Linked DNA regions of Danio rerio. The protein of the gene in region 2 purifies or fractionates together with the protein of the main gene of each other region. This does not show direct contact. Links are inferred from orthologs where the notes say so. Each region holds a gene or a part of one and is shown on either strand. Other genes may lie near its edges.

Evidence for each region.
Region 1: the proteins of atp11a (region 2) and tmem30aa purify together in Homo sapiens (co-immunoprecipitation; 4 studies listed by BioGRID and IntAct, with this or other methods). This does not show direct contact. The link is inferred for Danio rerio from reciprocal best matches to the Homo sapiens genes ATP11A and TMEM30A.

Annotation. Positions count from the first base shown.
Region 1 is NC_133192.1:56,063,954-56,077,396, reverse strand, and holds the start of tmem30aa (transmembrane protein 30Aa), read left to right. Parts: upstream 1-7,435; 5' UTR 7,436-7,621; coding exon 7,622-7,870; intron 7,871-10,223; coding exon 10,224-10,343; intron 10,344-12,003; coding exon 12,004-12,111; intron 12,112-12,571; coding exon 12,572-12,659; exon of another isoform or gene 12,660-12,962; intron 12,963-13,154; exon of another isoform or gene 13,155-13,443. Other genes in the region: filip1a (filamin A interacting protein 1a), read left to right, coding at 1-538, 2,791-2,994. UniProt on the Homo sapiens protein: Accessory component of a P4-ATPase flippase complex which catalyzes the hydrolysis of ATP coupled to the transport of aminophospholipids from the outer to the inner leaflet of various membranes and ensures the maintenance of asymmetric distribution of phospholipids.
Region 2 is NC_133176.1:49,628,562-49,641,263, forward strand, and holds part of atp11a (phospholipid-transporting ATPase IH), read right to left. Parts: intron 12,052-12,702; coding exon 11,987-12,051; intron 8,329-11,986; coding exon 8,247-8,328; intron 7,525-8,246; coding exon 7,374-7,524; intron 6,912-7,373; coding exon 6,714-6,911; intron 6,418-6,713; coding exon 6,244-6,417; intron 4,245-6,243; coding exon 4,078-4,244; intron 3,490-4,077; coding exon 3,418-3,489; intron 1,128-3,417; coding exon 1,054-1,127; intron 1-1,053. UniProt on the Homo sapiens protein: Catalytic component of a P4-ATPase flippase complex which catalyzes the hydrolysis of ATP coupled to the transport of aminophospholipids, phosphatidylserines (PS) and phosphatidylethanolamines (PE), from the outer to the inner leaflet of the plasma membrane.

The DNA.
Region 1 (13,443 bases), on a different chromosome or scaffold from region 2:
ACCAACCCAAGAATTTCAGACAACCGCCATTCCAACAATTGAACGAATCAAGGAGAATCCAAAGAATCCAGAAAGAGTTCGATCTCCATTGACCTTTGCTGCCATCTCAAGAGCCAAGAGTGCAGAGATCACGAGGTCTCCCTCTACCGACAGACCCTTATCTTCAGTTTCAGTCGCATCCAACAGCAGCTCCCAGGAGTCTGTGGACATGATAACAGGCAGAGCTGTGTTCAAGGAAACTCCTGAGAAACGAATGGTCCCCACACCCATCAAGAAGTCCAATGCTAATGTTGTTACCACAGAAGACAGCAAGATTCACATCCACTTAGGATCACAGTTCAAGAAGATCATTGATCATGGCTCGGTCGTCATGGTCAAATCTATTTCTGGTTCATCCGAGGGTAAGGATGTTCCTACTGGAACTGTGCTACGCTCGCCACACAATGTGACTCCAAGCAAATCAATAACCAGCAAAGTGATGAGCAGCATCGCCATCACACAGGTCACTAAAGCACCAGCCAGACCTACACTTTCAGTGGTAGGTGCAACATTTACATATTATGGATAATCACAAAAAAATTTTCTTTGTAAAATAAAAATATTTTGTTGTCATGTTTACTGTCACGGATTTCATAATATGATTGAAATGGTAAAATCCCTAGTAAGGCTCCATCCCTCTTTACAAGTGTGTTAAATTAAATTAATGAGGTTAAACAAAGAACATAAAGTCACTGTGCTGTCAGCATGATGATGTGGGCTGGACATTTGTGTTTCACAGGTCTCTCTAGTTCTCCTGATTTAAATGAGAATAGAGCACGGGTGTCAAACTCAGTTCCTGGAGGGCAGCAGCTTTGCACAGTTTAGTTCCAACCTGACAATAGACTCAGGTAAGTAGGATCAGGTGTGTGTAATTAGGGTTGGAACTAAACTGTGCAGAGTTGCGGCCCTCCAGAAACTGAGTTTGACACCTGTGGAATAAAGCTACTTTAAAATGTACATCCACACTTGTTGTTTCTTTAAACCAATGAGTGTAAAAAATATGGACGACGCGACAGCCCCTTTTCCCATTAAACGCCTTGAGGGCAAAATGCCTGCTTGACGGGCACAAACTGTCGCAAAAGACTGCTGAAATTGGAGCCTTGACATGCGCAAAAGGACTGTCTGATGGAGCCAGAGGAGGAGCCGCGAAAATGAGCTTCCAACCAAACGCTTTATGTAAAATCAACCACGTCCCCCGAACTTCTCAGCATGCGTTTGCTGTCATATCAACACAAATGGATGTAATAACGTTAACAAATATGAGGGTTTTATATATTCAATCGCGCCAGCTCCGGGCCGCAGCGCATAACATACTCGCGGCGTCGCGGGTTGATTCCGGCTCGCATGCGGCAGCGCCGGCTCGCTCGGCCGCCGCATCTGGCTCGATTGACTCGGGCTGGAATCGGGCAGTGAGTCCAGGCATCCGGAGTATGTCCAGCAGAGGTAGTCAGTCTGAGCTCTGAGGAGTAAGTCTCCGGCAGGCGAGAATCTAGCCTGAACTGGCCCGAGTGTATTTTGCTATCTGGGTGGTTAGGCGTGTATCAGCAAACTTATAAAGCTAGAAAAAAGCCCTGACCTTAAAGAATAAACAGTGTTCCACCAGAATCATGTATGTCAGAAACTGTAGTTTACTGCTGAACTCATTTTGTCATGGTAAAATAACACAGAAATCGAATAATAACACTTCAGTCTCCTGCCGAAGCTCAGATGCGCTGCTTTGAGAAACTGTCAATCACAGCTGTCAATCACGATGACACGCCCAGCATTAAATTAATGCTAAAAACAAATTTTTTACAAAAATGAAGATCTGCAGCTATTTCAGCACTATAACCAGTGCCTTAATCCACCAGAACCATCTTTCGGGACATTTTATTGCAAGTGTAAAACATTTTTTATTTGGGCTCAAGTCTCCTTCATTAACACGGAGGAGGCGGGCTTTATGACTTGTACTGCAGCCAGCCCCCAGGGGGCGATCTAACGGCCGAGACCTTCACTCAAACGCAGGCTTGCGGCACACTTGCTTTAAACCAGTTGAAAGCGAATGATCTGAATCAGGTGTAAGGAAGACATACAAAATGTACAGGCCCAAGGACCAGAATTAAAAACCACTGTTTTAAACTATCTTTAAACTAAAATGTTGCACATCTTGAGCAAGTCTGCTGTGAACGCAACAGTTCCTGTTGTTTAAAACATGTATCGTGATTCTTTTAACATCCCTGCCAATTTGAATCGTCACATCTTTGAAGCAAGTTAGTAACTATTTGATTTTGTGGCTAATTTTGTATTAGTTCGTACAATCTCATTTAGACATTTCACTATGATTTGCTGATCCTCCAATGAGGGGTAGGCTAGGGGATGGAGATTGGGTTAGCTAATAACAAAAATCAGGGTTAGGGGTAAGGCCTGTTGGCATGCCTCCTTTTAAAATTGTATGTTTTTATATAAATAAAATCATATGAATTTGTTACGAAATAGTCTTTTTTTTTCTGACAATTCATAAAAGAACTACATTTCCTCAAGATTGGGCTGGCTAAAAAACAAAAAATAAGGGATAGAGTTAAGAATGGGGTTTGTTGACATGCCTCTTTTTAAAAATTTGTACATTTTTATATGAATAGAATTGTATGAATTCATATGAAATAACACGTTTTCTCTAGGTACGTACATTTCCTTGAAATTGGGCTGGCTAAAAAAACAAAAAGGCCTTGCATCTCATTAAATCATGCTACTTGTTTTTCTGGTTCTCAACAGCAGCCAGTCCTGGATGTCCCATCAGCACGATCAGGGTTCAGTCGTATCCCGATGTCTCGGGGCATGAAAACCGGAAAAGCTGTGCTGGGAGCTTTGGGACTCACCACAGGAGCCAAATCAGAAACAAATGCGGAGGCCATTCACACTGACCTGAAAAAATCAGCTGTTAGTAATGGAGCCTTACAGGCCGGAGGGAAGGGCTGAGACGGAGAGTACCACACAAACAAGATCCACAGATGCATTTTACTCTACTGCCAAAGAAAATTCATGATTGTGAAATTATTATGTGTGGCAGAGATTTAAGGGAGGACTTTTTTTTTTACATAGGAGAGGAAACATGAGTTGGCGGTTCATTCCGCTGTGGCGACCCCAGATTAATAAAGGGACTAAGCCGACAAGAAAATGAATGAGTTTTTCTATAGATGCTTTACAGATTATCATTATACATTGATGTATGTGTTTGTATATATATGTATTTTCCATTTTTTTTCTCTCTCTCTCTTTTTCCCATATATGCTAGTGGGTGTTTGTGTATCTATGCCGAATTTATGATGATAGTAGACTTTGCTTAAATTATTTGAGTGCCATTTGAGATGTTTAAATGAGTCATGTGACCGTAGTACTCAAAGGAGACTCTAGACGCACCTGATCACTGTTGCCCTGATGAAGGCAGACTCCTGCCGAAACGCGTAGGTTTTTGGAGATTTAGCCATGTGAATAAAGGCTTTTTAATTTTTCACTAATTTCGAGTGCCTTGGACTGATTCTTGTTGCTGTTTTGATGAATCCCTTACCCAAAGAGCACCGACCATACATTTGAGCTTACCCCAGAGCGCTTTTTGTTTGTTTTTTCAGGAAAGGAAACATGTTGCCTTGGTCTATAGATAGTTATGACACACCAGAAATTAGCATAACTTGTTTTAGTTAAATAAATGTAATAGGATTTTTCTATTGGTTTTGTATTGCCAAAAATAGGCTCTTTGACTAGTTTAAGATTCATACGTTTTGTGTTTGTGTTTTACACAGTCTTCGTAAATTAATCATGAATTTTATATCTTAAAGGCACAGTTCACCCAAAAATAAAAATTCTGCCATTTGTTCAACACCTGCTTGAGTTTCTTACTTCTGTTGAACATAAAGGAAAATATACTGAAGAAAACAGCCTTTGACTTCTATTTCTTTTCCCAGCTTTCGTTAGAATATTTTATTTTGAGTTCAACAGTAGAAACAAACTCATAAATGTTTAGAACCACTTAAGTCTGAGTAAATGAGGAGGACATTTTTATTTCTGCATTTATAAACTGCATTTGAGGCTATAAAATTAAATTCAATTAAAAAACCCAACTGACTTCAAGAAAAAATGTTATGTTGTTTATGGGTTTTAGCCTACAAAAAATACATCATCCCTGTCACATGTGTAATAATTAATATAGTCATGATCTATTAACGCTGCCTTACACAAATCAGGATTTCAAGAGTTCACACTTAGCTGATGATTAATTATACAAGCTTGTTTGGCATGCTGTCCCGGGAGAGAGCCCTGAGCTCAGGAGATCCTCGAGCCCAGGGCTCCCTCCCGTTGCAAGGCGGGAGGGGAGTTTGAGCTCAGGTAGATCTCGAGAACTCCTCTGCTGTAGTAACCAATGAACAGTAAGTGATTGCTCTTGAAGATAACTCCGTACTAGAAGCATATCTATAGTGCCAATTTAGAGTATTCAATTAACTTAATTGCATGTTTTTAGGCGGTGGGAGGAAACCGGGGAACCCGGGGAAAACCCCCGTGAGCACGGGGAGAAGTGCAAACTCCACACAGAAATGTCTGCTGGTTTGGTAAAGCCTGGAACCAGAGACATTCTTGCTGTGAGGCGACAGTGCTACGCACTGGGCCGCCGTATCACCCGTCTAAGAAGGAGGAGTAGGGGAGGAAGGGGGGACTCTTCAAAACAAAGATAGCATTGGAATGAAACCCAGGGTATTTATAGTAGTTTAGGAGTCATCTGATTGGAGTGTAGTGAATTGGATAATGCAGATCCAGCTGCTAGCAATCATAAGCACGTGATCCTCTCGAAATTTGTTTATACATAAACTTCACTTATTAACAATAAACACCAAGTTGACAAGTTAGTAGGTTAAAGGATTAGATCACCCAAAAATGAAAAAAATATTATTTATTACTCTTACTGTATGAATATATGCCATAATATTTCTTTATACCGTAATACAAGTTTTATCAGGGTTTTTTAGACTCGTTGGAAGTTTCTCAAATAGTGTTTTTGATGCCACAGCTCATGTAATTGCAGAATAATCACATTTGTAGAGTTTAGGTGTGTACACAATCAACATTGATGAGGAAAGATGTCAACACAGAGCTCATCATGGGTGAGGTGAGCTCAACAGATGAGCGCTCTGATCTCTTCTGCTGTTATTATGTTTTGAAAAAATAAATTGTTTTTGGTAAAAGACTGTATATCATGTTTATTTTAGAAATGATACCTACTAAATGATGTATTTTAATACTTTTGTTTATGATTATATTTAACGAAGGAATGTACATGATTTCAGACCAAAGGTTTTCTGTTTGTGATACTTCTGTTGTGATTCTCTCCGATAAGTACAGTCTGTTTTTATTGTTGTTTCTAAGTAAAATGATTGAGAGGGTGCTCGCTGCAGAGCCATTTAAGGAGAGCTGAGCTCCAGCGAGGGGGAGCATGAGCTGTCGCTCCTCCTCCTGTAAGCTGTTTTAATGCGTACACCAACCCCACCCCTAACCCTACCCCCAGTGACATCACTCGTAGAAGAAGTGCAAAAAAGGTGGAGCTCAAGCTTAAGCTCCCCCTCGCTGGAGCTCAGCTCTCCTCAAATGGCTCTGCAGCGAGCACCACTTGAAATGATTTGCTTTTATGTGTCAAAAATATGTTTTTTTTGTCAATTTATTATGCAATTCAAATGATGTGTATACATACATTAAATTATTATTTCTTTTAACAGTATAAGTAGGGCAAGGGGTAGCGCTATCATCTCACAGCAAGAAGGTTGCCTGTTTAAGCCTCGACTGGGTCATCATGGGTCCATATGTGTGAATGAGAACGTATGGGTGTTTCTCAGTGATGGGTTGCACCTGGAAGGGCATCCGCTGCATAAAACATATGCTGGATAAGTTGGCGGTTCATTCCACTGTGGCAACCCGTGAGTAATTAAGCCAAAGACTAAGCCCAAAAGAAATTAATGAATTTATAATATATATATATATATATATATATATGTAATATTATATATATATATATATATATATATATATATATATATATATATATATATATATATATATATATATATATACAGTATATATATATATATATATATATATATATATATATATATATATATATATATATATATATATGTATATGTGTGTATGTGAGCAATATCACACGAGTAGCAGTGCGATATGGTTGTATATCAGCACTGGTGGGAGGTGTGCCTCAATGTCCCACCAGTAACGATATACAGCCATATCGCACTGCTACAAGTGTGATATTGTGTCCAACAGTTCAACGACATAACGACGTGTATATATAAAAAAAAAATCAAACGCAGAGAGTCTCAAAAGTGTGATATGTGATATAAAGTGAGTCTCAGAATGTGCATTAAATAACATTTTTCCACGCAGACATCCCAAGTCTCCCGGAAGTTCCAGGAGTCTCCCGCAAATGCACAGAGACTCCCGGATGCCTGCAAGCGAGTTATAATCTCTTGAAAATCGCGGGTCTCCCTCCCGGTCCTCAAATACGTTGCGCACCCTTCTTACTGCATCCCTCCTTGCTCTTCAGACACATCCTGTTAAACACCACCAACACCCGATCTTCAGATATTTTTACGTAGCATAACTCCCGCAAACTCCGACAAATCATCAGTCTTGCCCGGGAATGACTATTCTCAACTTTGGATGTCTGTCCATGCCATGTCTTAAAAATATGAACATTTTTTTTTACGCCAGATTATTCAAAGGAGCTTTTGTACTAGCCTGCTGATCCTGACAGCTTGTGCTGGTAAACGGTCTTTCATCTCATTTTATGCTTGACCGATTAAATGTCTGTTTAATTTAATAAGTCTGTTTAACTGACTATATTTTAAAAACATTAAAACATCGATGCTGTAAAAGAAAAAAAACATATAAAATTGTACAAGCCACATTAACTGTTCACCAGACGTTTAATAATATGGGAAGAAACGCTCGCTGCTGTGCATATACCCCATTGTTCACCTAAAGAATAACAATGTGCGCTAGCAAAATGAGCATTGTAAATTTTGATTTCACCTGGACTTTAAATAAAAATTACATTTTGTATTTTCTCCAGCAAGATACAAAGGATGAACTACCTATTTAGTTATTGAATGCATATTAAACACGTTTAAATTAAAATACTGCTCATCTCTGCATCACTGATTTTCTATTTCAGAAACAAACAGGAACATGCAAACAACAGCAATAATAATAATAAAGACACAAATGCATACCAAACATATTAAAATACCGGTAAAAGAGCATAGCATACTGTATTAAGAGATTATCAGGGGAATAAAAACAGTTGTTTTTATTCCTTAGTCGTCATGTGATGCCGTCACAGCGTCGCTGCAAGTCTATTGGCTGCAGCACTTCCTTGTTTATCGCCTTGTCCACATCCTACTAAGCGCTACGGAAATAATCTCCATCGTTTAATGGCGCGGTCATTGTACCATCAAAACCATCGATAGCGGCGATATAACACACGCTGTACCCAACCAAGGACATACATTTGAAGTTGTGCTCGTCTTTGAAGGATTAAAGCGCGATGATGGCGTCCAGCTATAACGCGAAGGAGGAGGACGGTCATCATCCGGGATTGGTGGGCTCCGGCGGCCCGGGCGCCGTCAAGAGCAAGAAGCCGGACAACACGGCCTTTAAACAGCAGCGTTTGCCCGCCTGGCAGCCCATCCTGACAGCAGGCACCGTCCTGCCTGCCTTCTTCATGATCGGACTCATCTTCATCCCCATCGGCATCGGACTCTTCGTCACCTCCAATAACATCAAAGAGTTTGAAGTGCGCAACTTCACCATAGTACCGTCAGGGCTGTGCAGTATGACAATATAAAATGTCTATCTATTCATATTCTATCGTTAAAATAGTTAGTTCACAGCAAAATTGACAAGCAAAAATCATTATTTACTCACCCGTTGCTTGTTTTTAACCTTTGTGAGTTTCCTTCAAATGTCGAACACAAAAGAAGATAGCTCGAAGAAAGCTAAAAACCTGTAACCATTATTAAGGATAGAAGTAAAGTTTCGGATTTTCAGACATTCCCCTTAATAATATCATTTCAGAAAAGTATTCATTGCAAATTTTAAATAGGGAAATCATATTAGCAGCAAATGACTTTCAAAGTACAACATTGTTCACAGTCAAATAAACAGTGTTAATGTTGTTTTCAAGTCACACTTGCATGCTAATTCAGATCGGATATTTAAAGTAACATAGTAAACAATATATAGACTGCTAAATGAACGAATGTGTGAATATAAAACCAACTTTACCTCTATTTATTAAGGTAAGGTCTTATATTCGCACATTCGTTCAGTGACAACTTGTGACTCGCTCCCTATATTGTTTACTATCATATTTTGTATACATTAAGGGAAATTTGGTTTTATATTTACGCATTGGGACTTATTATAATTTCAGAAAGAATTCTTTGCTCTAAATAAATAAATAGTGAAATCATGTTAGCAGCCAGTGACTATCAAAAGTACATCATTGTTAACAGTCAAATAAATAGTGCTAATATTGTCTTGATGCCGTACATGCATGCAATTTCAGATCAAATATTCAAAATACCATGGTAAAAAAAAATTAGAGAATATTACACAAGTCACTGAACGAGTGTGTGAATATACAACCAACTTTACCTTAATTTTTTTATATTTGATTTAAAATCACACGTAAGTATGAGTTTCAAATAACATTAGCACTATTTGTTTGACTGAACAATGATAGAAGTAAAGTTGGTTTTATATTCACACATTCTCATTAATAATAAAGTCTCAGAAAAGTATTAATTGGAAATTGTAAATAGCAAAATCATATTAGCAGCCAGCAACCATCAAAGTACAGCATTGTTCACAGTTGATTAAATAGTGCTAATGTTGTTTTGAAGTCATGTGATTTCAGTCCGGATATTCAAAGTACCATGGTAAACAATGTATGGAGCTGTCAATGAATGAATGTGTGAATATAAAACCAACTTTACCTTTATTGAACAATGTTGCAGTTTGATAGTCACTAGCTGCTACTGTGATTTTACTATATAGAATAAGCAAATATTTCTTTTTGAAATTATATTGTTAGGGAGAAAGTATGAATGTGTGATTATAAAACCAGCGTTACCTCAATGTAACCATTGTCTTCCATAGTAGGGAAAGTGATAATGTGTATGTCAATGGTTACAGGTTTTCTTTTGATTTGTGCTCAACAGAAGAAAGAAACTCAAAGTTTTAAACGTATATAGGGTGAGTAAATGATGACAAGAATTAGCATTTTTGGGTGAACTATACCCTTAATATTGTATTGTTACAAAATTTATTGTTTAATACTTTTCATAATTTTATATAAGCGTAATATTATACGCCATTATGAGGATAAAGACAGAAACATATTTACATTTTATTTAGCAATATTTTATGCTCAGCCTATAAATCATTAGTTTATGAATTTTTTTTCTAAATTTCATTAATATTTAATTATAATTAGAAACAAATACACTGAAGTTTTAATCTGATCACATATTAATGAGTAGATTTTTGAGTAAATACTTAGGAATTTACAGAAAATTATATATATATATATATATATATATATATATATATATATATATATATATATATATATATATATATATATATATATATAGGCAAGACAGTGGCGCAGTAGGTAGTGCTGTCGCCTCACAGCAAGAGTCGCTGGGTCGCTGGTTCGACAGTTGGCGTTTCTGTGTGGAGTTTGCATGTTCTCCCTGCCTTCGCGTGGGTTTCTTCCGGGTGCTCCATTTTCCCCCACAGTCCAAAGACATGTGTTACAGGTGAATTTGGTAGGCTAAATTGTCTGTAGTGTATGAGTGTGTGTGTGGATGTTTCCCAGGGATGGGTTGCGGCTGGAAGGGCATTCGCTGCGTAAAAACTTGCTGGATAAGTTTTCGGTTCATTCTGCTGTGGCAACCCTGGATTAATAAAGGGACTAAGCCGACAAGAAAATGAATGAATGAATTATATATATATATATATATATATATATATATATATATATATGTCATATTGCACAGCCCTACAACATAAAATAGTAGCATCGTGAATAGTAGTTTGATGTTATTGTGTAACTTGTGCTGTTGTTGTTTGTGTTGTAGATCGACTACACTGGTGTCGACATGTCCAGTCCGTGTTACAACTGTGCACAGAACTACAGCTGGAACAGCACTAGTGTGTGCACTTGCACTGTTCCCTTCACACTAGACCAGCCTTTCGAGGTAAACACACTTTACACTGCTAGACCTACATCATATTTGTGTGTTTCTGTGTTTTATTTTCTAGATCTGAAGTTTTTTTTGCTGCGATGTTGCGGAAATAGAAACTGTTTCTAAATTAGAAATTTCGCAGTCGCAGATGGTTAAAATAGAAACTCCTTTTAACTTGAAAGAGACATATTTTATTGCGTGTTAGGACACTGTGTTACACTTCAGAAAATGTTTTTCTTTTTAAAAATCAAAGATCTAAAATTTAAATAAAATATAATAATCTAGAAAGCATTTTCTAGACAAGTAAAAAATTATTTTTTTTTGTTTTTAAAGAAATAAGTCAAAATAAAGTTAGTTTTTCCTTAAAACAAGCTAAATAATCTGCCAATGCGTTAAGTTAAATAATCATGTTTTTTTGGTATGAAATAAGTTTATCTTACTTAATTTATATATATATATACATATATATATATATATATATATATATATATATATATATATATATATATATATATATATATATATATATATATATATATATATATATGGTTAAAAAAAGATCACTTTAGCAGGTTTAATCAAAAAGATACTTAATGCATTGCTTAATTATCTATACATTATCTATAAATCGAACAAATGTTTTAAACAAATTAATTAGCAAAAGAATAACTGCAGGATTACAATAGAATTTTATTAGTTATTAACTCCATTTAATAAAACGGTTACAACTTTTAAACCAGTGTACTATAGATTTTACTGCAGTAAACTGGTCTATTGTTGTTTATTACACCCTATGAAGTTGTAAAAATTGTACTACAATATTCATTTGTTTCTGTTATTAGTTGTTGTATTACCAGCAACTTACTACAACAAATGAATTCAACTACTTTACTATAGTATGATTCAAAAACACTATGTATTTTACCACAGAAATTGTTTTAATGTGAGTGACCTTTTATAAAGAAAACTGAGTAGCTAAATTATGAACTATATTCAGTTGTTGTCTACAAATTACATAAAAAAAAACAGATAACACATTTATGGAAATGTAATCTGACTACATTTGGATTACATTTAGATTACTTTTGTGCTTGCAGTTTGTTGAAAAATATGTTCATTTTGTCAGCAGCAAAAGCCTTAACAGATGAATACTTCACAATACTAACAATAATATACCTCTCTGTTTGTTTATGATTATAGTAACACAGGATAATACGAAGTCACATTTTCTGAGTTTGAAAGATTTACTTATATTAAAGCACATTTAGAAATCAACATCATTGTCACTGCTACATCAGTTATTTCATTAACAAAAACCTATAAATGCATATGAAGGTATCAATGAAAAGCATAGCAAGCGTGAACTAATTTAGAGATATATTTAACTCTAGCTCCATTATGTTGTATATTTGCTTTGTCTGCTAACCGTTGGATGGTCAAACAAATCACCTAAAGTGCCATTAGCTCTCATGTATTATGCATTAGTATATTTAGAGGACGTTTTATTGATCGCACCTTTTAATATGTTAAAAATAGAATTGTTTTCCGCTCTTGTTATAACAGAGATCAGTTCAGATGATCTATAAACAACACTGAAGTAGCCTCAGTATAAAAGATTTTATGGCTGGTGACTGGATGTTATTTTAACCTCTAACTTCTTTTTTTTTTGTAGAGTAATGTTTTCATGTATTACGGACTCTCCAACTTCTATCAAAACCACAGACGTTATGTCAAATCCAGAGATGACAGTCAGCTGAATGGAGACAAAAGCTCTTTACTGGTGAGTGTTTCGACATATGCTGACTAAATGTTTGACTTTGACTTTAGTATATTATATTTAATTTTGTTTTGTGTAAACTTATAGTTTAATATTGGTGCATTTTGTGAGATCTGATGGTATGGAAATGCTTGAGGCCCAAAAGAGAAGTGGTAACAACAGCCAGTAAGTTGTTGGGAACAAAACTAAAGAGTATACTGGTAGTGTATACAAAGAAAGAGCATTACAAAAGGCTATCATGATTGTCAATGAAAGCCTTATTATATATATATTATATATATATATTTGGTGACGCGACTGACGTGACATGCTTTTCCGCTCAGAGTTTACTTTTGTTTAATTGTCGTTTGCATATTGCAAATATGTGTAATTAGTGTAAACATGGCCCTAGCAAGCATACTTACTGAATTGTTGAATCGAGTTTGTACGTTGTCTTCAAGTGTTTAAATCTTTTGTTTTACAGAATCCGAGTAAAGAGTGTGAACCGTATCGAACAAGTGACAGGAAGCCCATTGCTCCTTGCGGCGCCATTGCTAACAGTCTCTTCAACGGTAAGACTGAAGGCTCATAATACTAATAACCCAGAGGAGTAGCGGACTGGCCCGCAGGGCACGCTCCGTGGGGGGGCCCCGCGTGATTAGGGGGCCCCACGTTGTCGCGAAAATCCGGCAACCTCAATAATCAAACTCTTGAAAACAACTGTGGTCGGAACCAATGTTCACAGGTCTGTGTTCTCTGAACTCCTCTCAACCGGTGGACTACTTCATTATGATTGCCGCCGAACCGAGTCAAGCTCGGTCATAGCTCATACCATAAAGTTGACTTGATTTCAACTCTCCTCGACACTCACACAGGTGAAGACGCGCCGCGATGTTTTTCACCGCCGTTTCTCATTGAAAATGAATCACTTCTGGCTACTTTGACGCTCTCGCCGTTTTCGGTTTGTGATCGCTCCTCAGTTTGTGAAGGCTTCCCTGTGTTGTCGCCCCCCCCCCTTTCCCGCTCTTTAGTTTGTGATCGCTTCTCAGTTTGTGATCGCTCCTCAGTTTGTGAAGGCTTCCCCGCGTTGTCGCTCCACCCCGCCTTCCTTCCCTGCTCCTCAATTTGTGATTACTTCCCCGCGTTGCCCCCCAACCAACACCTCTCCAACTGGGGGCCCCGTCAGTGATCCCTGCAGGGGGGCCTCCCCATTTTGCGCTACGCCACTGTAATAACCTTAATGATACTTAGTGCCTAATATGGCTTTGAATATTACAAAGGCATGTTGCTGTTTTAAATGCTTGATAATAATTTTCTTTCAATAGTTTAATTGTTCATTTAGACTATTTAAATAAT
Region 2 (12,702 bases):
TCCAGCTGCAACCCAGTATAGGAAAAAAGTCAATCACACTCAATCACACTCATACTATAATTTAGTTTATTCAATTCACCTATAGTGCATGACATGCATGATAATGAATGGGGGAAACTGGCCCAGCCGAGACTCAGCGACTTTCTTGCTGTGATGTGACAGTGCAAACCACTAAGCCACTGTGCCACCCTAAACAATGTCTTAAAAAAACTTTCAGGTGGTTTCTGTCAGGGGATATGTTTGCATTATCGATATATAAAATTTCTACAGTATAAATATCATTATGGAAACACCACGTACAACTGTGTGTGTCCCTGTAATTCAAAAAGCTTCAAAAAGATATTTAACGGGGTCTTTTAGGCTTAGACCCTTTACTCACAGCCGAATGAACCACCAACTTATCCAGCATGTGTTTTACGCATGCCCTTCCAGCTGCAAGACAACACTGGGAAACACCCACACACTTCTGCATTCACACACATACACTATGGCCAATTTAGCTTAATTAATTCACCTATAGCACATGTCTTTGGACAGTGGGGGAAAACAGAGCACCCGGATGAAATCCACACCAAAACTGGGCCAACAACTGACCCAGGCGGGACTCGAACGAGGAACCTTCTTGCTGTGAGGCGATCGTGTTACCCACTGCGCCACCATGACGCCTTAACATTGGGGTTGGATGTAATAAGCCGTTAGGGTTAGATATAAAAAGCCAATTTTACAATATAAAATGCATTACGCCAAATGAGTGTCCCTGTAAACCACGTATAGACCATTTTGAGGGATGTAAACAAAAACAATGGTCCCATCGTATTTCCTGTTTTACATTTTTAGTTTCTATAGCTTCCGAGAATCCAAAAAGAGCCAGATATAGAAAAATAATGTTATGATAGCTGTTTTACCATTAAGTTATGACTGAACCACCTCTTGTTAACGTTATAAAATTGTTTGATAACAAGCAGGAAAAGTTCATGGGCCAATGACATGACCACATTGAAATGGTTTACACAAGTATGTATGTATGTATGTAAGAGTGTGTGTTCATCCTACCCGAGTTTGATCGTACGATTACACTCATTCTCCTCCTCACCGAATCAAAGTTTAACACATCCAGCAGCTCAAATCTGTGAACACATAAACACAAAGGCAAATATTTTGTATTTAAAAGGTTAAGTGACAACTGACTATGTCCACATTTATGCTCGCATAAATCAGAGGAATGCATGGCGTTTGCTGGGTGTTTTGGGATGCATCTTTATCACAGACGGACAGACTTTTTATGGGACTGCGCTCTGTGCTGACCCTCATGTTCTCAGCTGTAGGACAGTGTGTAGCTGCACTAATTATGGCTGGTCCTTGTCCTTCAAGGGCATGAACACACACACATACACACATAGACAAACGCACACACACCAGTCCCCTCACTGCCTGAACAGGGGAAACTTCACTACCTAAAAGTGTTATCTTAAAAAACACACAGTTGCATTAATATGCCAACCTAATTTGTAAATACGCAAATGATTAGAGATTAACTGAGCAAACTGTTCTCTTACTGAGCTTTCTTTCCTTTTTAAAATGCTAGAATTAAATTAAAGTGAGTTAAAGTGCTCGAAATCTGGTATGAAATTAAAAGCCTATTTGGAAATCATTTAGCCCTAAAATTATTCATACCCCGGGCATATTCTGATGTGAAGTTACTTTTATTCAACCAGAAAGTTTTATTTAATGAAATTGACTTCCAAAAGATAATAAGATGATGTGCAAGAGGCATCATTGTGAGGAAAAATGTCCTTCTCAGCTTTTATTTACATTTAATAAAAAAAGAGGCAAAATTATTCATACCCTTTGCAAACTGTCACAGTCAATAGGAAAATCCAAAATTCTATACCCTTCCAGAAAGTCCAATAGTTCTAAAGCATCCTAATTACCCTGCCATGAACACCAGCGATCTAGCCCTTATAGACATCTACTATATGATCCGGACTACAATTCTGCCCCTGAACTGCACTACATCTCCCATGTGGCACCTCACACACACACCAGTTCCAGATCACCCATAATTACACACACAAAACCTCATGATGGACTAATCAGATGGACCACATAAACAGCGCACACACACACAAACACACACACACACACACACACACACACACACACACACACACACACACACAAATACAGACACACAAATACATACACACACACACAACACACACACAAACACAACTACACACACACACAAATACATACACACACACACACACACACACACACACACACACACACACACTTTGCTGACTCTTGTTACCCTATAACCCCTGTATCCCCTGTTTATTTATAAACTAATTTCGAGAGGATCACATGCTTATGATTGTCCACAGCTGGTCCCGCATTAACTTATGATTAATTCACTAATCATATAATTTCTAATTCGCTATAAATAAGCAGTTTCTTATCTCAGTATCTTCATCTCGATGAATCTCTCCTCCCACCTAGTAATTAGATGGGCGACACGGTGGCCCAGTGATTAGCACTGTTGCCTCACAGCAAGAATGTCTCTGGTTAAAGTCCCTACTAAGCCAGTCGACATTTCTGTGCAGAGTTCGCTCCCCATGCTTGCGTGGGTTTTCCCCAGGTTTCTCCAAAAAACACACAATCTAAGTAAATAGAACAGACCAAATTGACATCAAAGTCAAGCTCTTAGTATGCCGTATATCTCTCCTTAGCAATCCCTATATCTGTCGATAGCCAGAAATAAGTCAGGGGAGTTCATCAAGATCTACCTGAGCTCAAACTCCCCTCTTGCCCTGCTAACGGGAGGGAGCCCAGGACTCAAGGATCTTATTGTCATGATAACCAGCGATCTAACCACCAGAGGTCGCTGGTAAACATTCACACACATAAGACTACAAGTCTGCTTGCAAATGGACTACATATTCAGTCATGCCACACACACACACACCTGCTCTAAATCTCTACTGATTACAATCGCACAGCTGAAGCTGCTCAAGGACTGATTCTCCGACTCTGGATTGCCCTCATACATCTGTTTGCCCCCATATTGACCCCTGCTTGCCTGACCATTCTAATAAACCTGCATGTGGATCCTCACCTCTGTTGTCAGTGTCACATCCCTTGGTTTCACTTATAAGCTCAGGGCTCTCTGCCGGGACAGCATGCCAAACAAGCTAATTACTAATCATAAGCTAGGTCTTAACTCTTGAAGCATTTTTTTCTTTTTTGTAGGTAAAAATATACATCACATAAAAACGTATATTTAACCTATTAATGCATGTAAGTTTTTTTTTTGGATAGTGTAAAGTAAGATTTTTGGACAGACTGATGGACTTGCAAATGCTGCTACAGTTTCCTGTTGGTCATTGAGCTCATGCTGTTGTCCAGATGGCTCACCTCTCCATCTCATCCTCTCTGTTAAGGATCTCCATGTGACTGTCCTTCAGACGGAGGTAGGTGAAGCCCAATCTGAGCAGGTGAGAGAAAGAAAAACAAGTTTCTTTATGATTGTTGCTGAGCATTATTTATTCTAGATTTGTATGATTGTGTTATAAATGGCTCAAAAAGCTATACAGTATATACTACAGTGTGTATAGTATATTGTAGGAGACCTCAAAAACGTGTAGGAACCATAAAAATAGCACACTTAAAGGGATAATATGAGTTTTATGATCAGAGTATTGATTTACACGTAATATATAAATAAATAAAGATTATTCATACGCATTAAATAAGTGATTTATTGTTAAAACTGCATACTGGTAGGGTTATGTTATAGTATCTATAATAGCTATATGTAAAACATGATAAATGTGTGTGTGAATAGGTGTGAGGGTATGAAACAATGGTTTATGATTTATTGACAATAGTTTATTTAGATCAGAGTAATAATTTACACGACGCGTTCTGACTGTTTTGGCAGGAAAATGAAATATAAAATTGCTCTGTCATCCAAAGTGAGACTCTGTATCTCAAACCTTGAAGGACAGTGTCTAAAGTGCAATATGGTGGCCCTGTTTTGTGTCTGTGTGTGTAATATATATGCATTCATCTTGCCTTTTCATGCCCTCCACCAGCGCAACCTCGTCTGGGGAAGAGGAGATATAGAAAGATGTGGCTTTGCCCTGATGTATTCCTCTCTTAATGCCGTCGACCGTCTCCTCTTCCTTTACCTGGACAGTGTGGCACAGGCACAGCGCACGAAAAAACAGCTCCTCTCGCTCCTGTACAGGCAAAACGCATGCAGTTGTGAGGAACGACTCCTGCAGATCTTTTTCAACAAAAATACATCAAGACATTAAAGGGATAGTTGACCCAGAAATCAAAATCTTTTGACCCTCAATCATCCATGATGTATTGTAGCTGACATTTTGTTAAGGAAGATATTTAGCTGAAACAATGGTCATCAGTGATTCATGAAATGTAAATCGATGACTCCCATCACTTTGAGTAAAAAACAGGAAGGTGGTGTTCTCAAGACTGTCATGACACCTTTATAATCATGACATAGCAGGTCACGAATATGAAGGAGATTGTATGCATGTTTATGACACCTTTATGAAGTGCAGTTTAGACATTTTTTAAATGCAAAGATGACATTGTTTGAGATGTTTTTGTTATAACAACTTGACATACAGTTAAAGTCAGAATTTCTAGCCCCTCGATAAAATCTTTGAAAATAAAAGTGAGTCGACTAAGTGGACAAGAATTATTTGTCTGTTTCCTCTCACACCAGCAGAAAGGAAGATAGATAGACTAACAAAGCCAGATTAAGTGACAAAGACGAAGAGATAACAGGAGACAGAAAGGCTATCAGTGTCTGAACAACATGCAGTCAATACCCATTTATCCTGTAAATATTTGGATGCATCTGATACATTACAAATCTAAACAACAACCAACTCTGAAGTTTAATTGTATTATGAACACACTTCAGCCTAATGATCTCATTAGAATGGACAAACTGAGCCGATCTAATTTCCTGACTGATATTCAAAGAGATCACATTTAAAACTGCAACTGTCGAGATGTGAGACGAGTTAACAAATTCTTTCACAGATGTTTTAGTTAATCTTCAGAATTAATGTGTCACGTCGTCACAAAGCTGATTTATCAAAGATAAAATTAAAATCCATCCATCACGCCATCCATCCATGGCTAAAATATTCATGCTAAAACTTGCCGTCGATAATATCAGACAATTTCTGTGCATTGAAACATAACTAGTCACCGATAACCACACATTCTCATCTCTTACTTTGATGAATATAATATTATTATTGTGGGAGAAAATGCATTTGGTCAAACTGATTCATTAAATTGAATAATGACAGGAAAACTTAAGGTAAACTTTACCTAGGGACTAGATGGTAAAAAATTTGGGGAAAAAAAAATTACATGACAATTGTTTTCATATTTTAATTATGTTTTTAATTTTACAGTAAATACTTTTTTGGACTTTTTTGGATTAAATAAAAAATATGAAAATTAAATAAAATAAATAAATACAAAATTAAATAAAAAAAATTAATTAGCTAAGATTTAAAACCAAATTAAATTAATGCAAAAAAAGAAATAAAATTAAATAAAATTTAAATTTAAAATTAAAAATGCTAAATTAAATTAAGTTAAATTAAAGCCCAAAAATATAAAATTAAATTAAATTAAATTAATAAAGGAACTAAGCCAACAAGAAAATGAATGAATGAATGAACAACTTAAATAAAATAAAATAAAATAAAATAAAATAAAATAAAATAAAATAAAATAAAATAAAATAAAATAAAATAAAATAAAATAAAATTAAATTAAATTAAATTAAATTAAATTAAATTAAATTAAATACACAAAATTAAATTAAATAATAACAATATTTTTTTATCTAATTAAAGCAAAAAACAAAATTAAATTGAATTTAATTTTAAAAATATATAAACTAAACTAAACTAAGCTATGCTAAGCTAAGCTAAGCTAAACTAAACTCAATAGTATCTGGATGCAGCCTTTATGATGCAAGCTGAGACTGCATCACTCAGCGATGCAATGTCAGACACAATGCACTCAAATGGAGCTAGTGACGTCACAGTGACGGGTAGGGTTAGGGGTGGGGTTAGGTGAGCCCATTAAAAAGCATTGGATGCAGCCCAGATTGCACTGCACCAGGTCTGCAGCCAGACCCCTCTCACTAAACTAAATCAGCTATAATCAAAACAAGAAGCTCACCTTTCCCTCTACACCTGGAGAGGAGTCAATCATATCCATTCCAGCAGCTCCAGGTAAGATCTGCCCATTACAGATGGCATGTGGCACATAGACATGTCCATCCACGCAACACTCCCTCAGCTCCATGTTATTTTCTGTCAAAGTGCCTGTCTTATCAGTGAACACATATTCCACCTGTAAAAAAAACAAGTGCCATCCACTGTAAAAAATGCAGGGTTCCACGCAATTCATTGATGTTGACTGGACCTTGACCCAACACAAATTGATTAAGTTAATTTAGGACTCTTAACAAAATTTTTTGGATTGAACATTAAAAAAATTAAGTTGTCCCATGAAATCTAAAGAATTGTGTTGTTTTAGCTCATTTGAATTAAGTTGTTTGAACGAACAAAAACAAATATTTTTTTGAGTATAGTAAACAAACAGTGACCCAAACAGCAGTTTAAAAGTGGGCTAAAATTGTCTGCTACCTGTCCAAGCTCCTCATTGAGGTCCGAGGTATTGACCAGCGGCCTTTCTCCAACCTCCTCATCAAACATGTCGTCGTCCCACAGGATAAAGTAGGAGCCCAGGAACTTCTGCATCTCCACCGTCACGTACATAGACACAGGAATGATGTAGTTAAACAGAACCATGAAGGCCAGGAAGTCTGTGAAAGCCCGGATTAACTGAGGACACAAAACAACATGGGATGTTTGGGTTGTCGCATTTTCGACACAATGTATATATATTTTTTTAGTTAATACATTTTTTTTTGTATTTACCAAATCTGTTTGTTTATTTATTTATTTATTTATTTATTTATTTATTTATCCTATAATAATAATAATAATAAAAATTATTATTATTATTATTATAACTAAGGTTATTAGTTACCACAACTTTATTAGTTACTAATAACTTTAACCAACTAATTAGTAACTAATAGCTTTCAACAGTTAAAGTTATTATAAACATAGTTAACCTGCAATTATATAGCATATACAGTAGGTGATGTCCATGTGTATGTATAAATTAAGTGTATTTGTGTATTAAGTGTATGTGTTGTCCTTGATAATAATAATAATAATAATAATAATAATAATAATAATAATAAAAAGAAGAAAAAAGACATTGTTTATAGCACATACTACATGTCGTTGCCTCTCAGACTCAGTCCTCTGGTTGTACCAGGGCTCATCTCTGTTCGGGTCGGCCTGCCAGACATACTTCAGGACAGTATTGATCAGAGCTTTACTGATCAGAATGCAGAGGTACACAATCAGATAGGCGTTCATAGACCTGCAATGCAAACAACAAGCAGATGAGAAACACCCAAAATCATGCTTAATGTTTTCTGGACATGTATCCTAAACCAGTGTGACTTGGCCAGAGGGAATGTAAAGTCAACATCCAAATACTATCTCAAATATTTAAATTAAATGGGAATTTCAAGCAAAAATGGCAATTTACTTCATGCTTATTCAGCCTCAGATTATTAAAACTTATTGTGAGCTTTTATCTGTAGAACACAAAAGAAGATATTTCGTAGAATGTTAAAAGGTGGCTATTGACATCCATAGTAGGGACAAATACTTTGGAAGTCAGTCTAAAACTATACAACATTCTTCAAAAGCATTCTCTTTTGTGTTTAATTGTAAAAAGAAACTCAAAAAATGTAAAATCGATGACTATTGTTTGTTATTTTTAGGCGAACTACCCGTTTAAAGGGCTAAAAAAGGAAATCAACATTTATTTGATTTAAAAAGTCAATGACATCTGAAACTCTGAAAATAGATCTCTGAAAGTACACTTGTTTATTTAATAAATAGAGATCTGATGTATTTGCCTAATGGCTGCATTTATCCGTCTGTCGCAGAAACACATGTGAGCGCAACTTGATACCATTTGTGACATCAAATACAGAGGCCCACAATTTGCTTTACAAACAGGACACTAAATGCATTACGCTGTACATGCTGACAGCAAGATAAACTGATCGAACGTCTATCATCGTGTCTTACTTTTCAACAGCGGAGCGTTTCTGAGACTTGGACTGGTAGTTAAGGGCCATCTTGGTTTCCATGCCCGTGTAAATGGCCACAGCTAGAAAAACAAGAAACCACAGAGTTAGTTATGATTAAAGAAACCATTATATGCACTGTAATAAATGCTGGGTTCCACACAATCCCTTCATGTTGTCTCAACACAAATCGATTAATTTAACTTAATGGTTTAAACAAATTTATGTTAATTGAGCTGTTTTTTTTTCAGCTCATTTAAATTTTTTAAACAAGCAGCTAAATTATTTTTAGGTGTACAGTTTCCTCTGCTAATGTTGGCACCCTTTGTTAATATGAGGAAAGAAAACTGTGAAAAAATGTCTTTAATATTTAACTTTTTGATCTTTGACCCACCGGCCACTTTATTAGGTACACCTGTCCAACTGCTCGTTAACGCAAATTTTTAATCAGACAATCACATTGCTAAACTTAATGCGTTTAGATATGAGACACGGTCAAGATGATCTGCTGCAAGTCAAACCGAGCATCAGAATGGGGAAGAAAGGCGATTTAAGTGACTTTGTACGTGGCATGGTTGTTAGTGCCAGACGGGCTGGTCTGAGTATTTCAGAAACTGCTGATCTACTGGGATTTTGATATCTAAATGTTTGTGTCGTGTCACGTCATGTGCGGAGAGTCAAATTGCTTGTCTCGGGAATCTTGTTGTGACATGTGTTGTAAAAACTGCACAATGTTTCCAGAAGTGTGGATTGTTGATAAGAAAGTGTCTGGTGCACGCGGAGAGGAGAGAGTGTGTCCTATGGGTGGTTTGTCAAGCTCATTAACCTGCATGAAGCACACTCAGAATTGGACAATGTTTTCAGAGAAATATGGATTGTTTATAAGAAAAGATTCTGTAATTTAAAAGTTTCTGGTGTAAATAAATAAAAATAGAGTCTGTTGTTAGCAAGTACTGATGAAACAGACCCGTTTTTAGACATTTCTTGAAAACGCCAACCAGATTTTCCCAAGTATGACATGTTCATGGATTAACATCCATGCTGAACCTGGAACAGCATTCCAATCAGCCGATCAGATTTAAGGGATACGTTTACCGTTTATGTTCAGTTTAAACTTACCATTAGGTTTATGAACTACATCCATATCTACGTGATTGTTATCCAACTATTATTCTGATTTTGGGAATAATCTACTGTTATGGTTGGGTTTAGGGGAAGGGAATAGGTATGTATTACATATTCCAACAAAAATTATGTTCCAGGATCAACACAGATGTTAATACAGGATCACATTGTGCTTGGCAAAATCATGACGTGCTCTTGAAAATGATCATAGACTGATCATGTAGTTTGGCAAGTCATTCCAGCAGGACGCAACATTAAAGGTTAATCTTTCTTGCGATTGATTTAATGCCCCCTTGGGATGGTACCACAAAGTGACGCATTCAGTAGCAAAGCACAGGCACAAAAGCCTACTTTCATACAGCTATATTCTCATTTTGTCAACAAACAACCTTTTGTCACAAATCACTGCTCTGACTTTGCTCTTCTCCACTGTGATGAATGACTGAGTGAGTTTTTGGACTGTGCATTTCTTCATATTTATAGCCCTGTGAAACAGGAGGTCATGGTTGAACAACCTTCTGTTCCTAGTCACTGTGGTGTGCTAAAATATATATAAAATATCAATAGGAACGTACTTCAAAAATATTTCACTCATATGTATTCATAAATAGCACATACAGGTAAAGTCAAAATGATTTGCCCTCCAGAGAATTATTTCACAAATGATGTTTAACAGAGCAGGGCATTTTTCACAGTATTTCCTATAATATTTTTTCTTCTGGAGAAAGTTTTACTTGTTTTATTTCGGCTAGAATAAAAGCAGTTTTCATTTTTTCTTTTAAACCATTTTAAGGTTAATCAGCCTTGGGAAGGGCGCCCAGGTATATTAACAGCCGCCCAAGTATATTTGGTGACATTTATTTTTTTTTATTATTATCACTTTTTTTTTTGGATCCGCCTGCACGTTTCCTACTTCTCGTTGTGTGTGCGGGAGAACTGTAAACACTCCTCCGGACTATTTCACGTGCTTTGCAGAGACCCACAGAGATGTGCCTTTTTGGGACTTAAAATCATCAATCCAGGGTTTCTAAATCTCAGAAAATGTCCAGGATTTGGCTTTTGGTTTCACTTTATAAAGTCATCCTTAATTGTATGCATTTTCTCATGACTTTTTTATTTTAAGCCTGATTTACTTTAGCTTGGCTTCACAGCTGACAGCACTTGCACAGCTGCAAGACCGAGAGAAACATTAAATAATCAATTCTTTGATCTAAACGACTCAGATAAACTTTTCTTTTTAGTCAGAGAGGATAAAATGACATCTAAACTGGCTGCAAAATATACAGTTCAAGTCAGAATTATTAGCCCCCCTTTGGTTTTTATATATATATATATATATATATATATATATATATATATATATATATATATATATATATATATATATATATATATATATATATATATATATATATATATATATATATATATATATATATATATATATATATATATATATATCCCAAATGATGTTTAACAGATAAAGGAAATTTTCACAGTATGTCTGATAATATTTTTTCTTCTGAAAAAAGACTTATTTGTTTTATTTTGGCTAGAAAAACAGCAGTTTTAAATTTTAAATAAATCTTAAAGTACAAATTAGCCCCTTTAAGCTGTATAGAAGAGTTTTAAAAATATCTAGTCAAATATTATTTACTATCATCATGGCAAAGATAAAATAAATCTGAAATTATTAGAAATGAGTTATTAAAACTATTATGTTTAGAAATGTGTTGAAAAAATCTTTCCATCAAACAAAAATTGTGGGGGAATTCGGTCTTCAGCTGTATACAAAGACAATTGTATCTTGACAAAAAACTCTTGTGTTTGCAATTGCTTGTTCTCAGTGAGACATTTTGTGGTTAAACAATAACGACATTTTTCACAAGCTTCTTTGCTTCTATTTACCACAGCTCTTTTTATTCTGTAGCGGATCATAGCAGCTCAGCTGAAACAGTTCAACATTTTTTTCAGCTTGCCCCGGTCTTGAATCCTCACGTGTATAATGTGACATTCATCTCTCTTTCTCTCTCTCTTTCTCTCTCTCTTTCTTTCTCTCTCTCCAGCAATTACGAACTTCTCTCTGATCTCACAAGCCTGAGTGACTCATTTAATTACAGTGGGAACAGAGTGACAGAACGACTCCATCAGCAACTCTCTTCTCTTATTCTCTTGCCTCTACCTTGTAGGCTGTATCAGGTTATTATAGTGATGGATCTTGGCGTCATCAGTAAGTTTAGGTTTCCAAAGCGATACAAAAACTGATTAAATATATGCCTTGAACTGGATTGTGCGTTGTTCAGTGTATACAACACAATCTCACGGCAATTCGTAACTTTTTGATTTAGTGGCTAATTCGTATGAATTAGTACAATCTAATTCGTACAGTTTAGTACGATTTGCTCATCACCCAATGATGGTTGGCGTTAGGGGTGGGGTTAGGTGCCACGCCTTTTTCCTTTTTAAAATCGTACATTTTCGTATGACTGCACTCATACAAATTAGCCACTAAACTGACAAAACGTAAAATACTTACGTTTCCTCGTGAGATCATGCTGGTATTTATACAATATACATTATATATCATGTATACACATACAAAATGTTTTTTCTTACCATGTATGTATTCTGTGTTTTTCAGTGTGGCTCCACGTAGCAGCAGATTCTCAGAACCCAGAGGTCTGAGAAAATCAAACAATATCAAATTCAGAATTACACATATAATAACTTTCTTTTTTTGGTGCTGAAAATTTATACTTAAAGACTACCTTAAATTAAAAGAAAGGTAAATAGGTAAAAATCGTAACATGTAAAATAAAAAACCATTGCTAAAAAAAACAATGAAAATATACAATTTTGTGCTATATAGAACATACACTCACCGGCCACTTTATTAGGTACAACTGTCCAACTGCTCGTTAATGCAAATTTCTAATCAGCCAAACACATGGCAGCAACTCAATGCATTTAGACATGCAGACATAGTCAAGATGATCTGCTGCAGCTTAAATCAAGCATTAAAATGTGGAAGAAAGGTGATTAAGGTGACTTTGAATGTGCATGGTTGTTGGTGCCAGATGTGCTGCTGTGAGTATTTCAGAAACCGCTGATCTACTGGGATTTTCACACACAACTATCTCTAGGGTTTACAGAAAATGGTCCAAAAAGAGAAAATATCCAATGAGTGTCAGTTCTGTGGATGCAAATGCCTTGTTGATGCTAGAAGTCAAATGAGAATGACCAGACTGGTTTGAGCTGATAGAAAGGCAACTGCTTGATGCTATCATGTCAATATGGACCAAAATCTCTGAGGAATATTTCTAATACCTTGT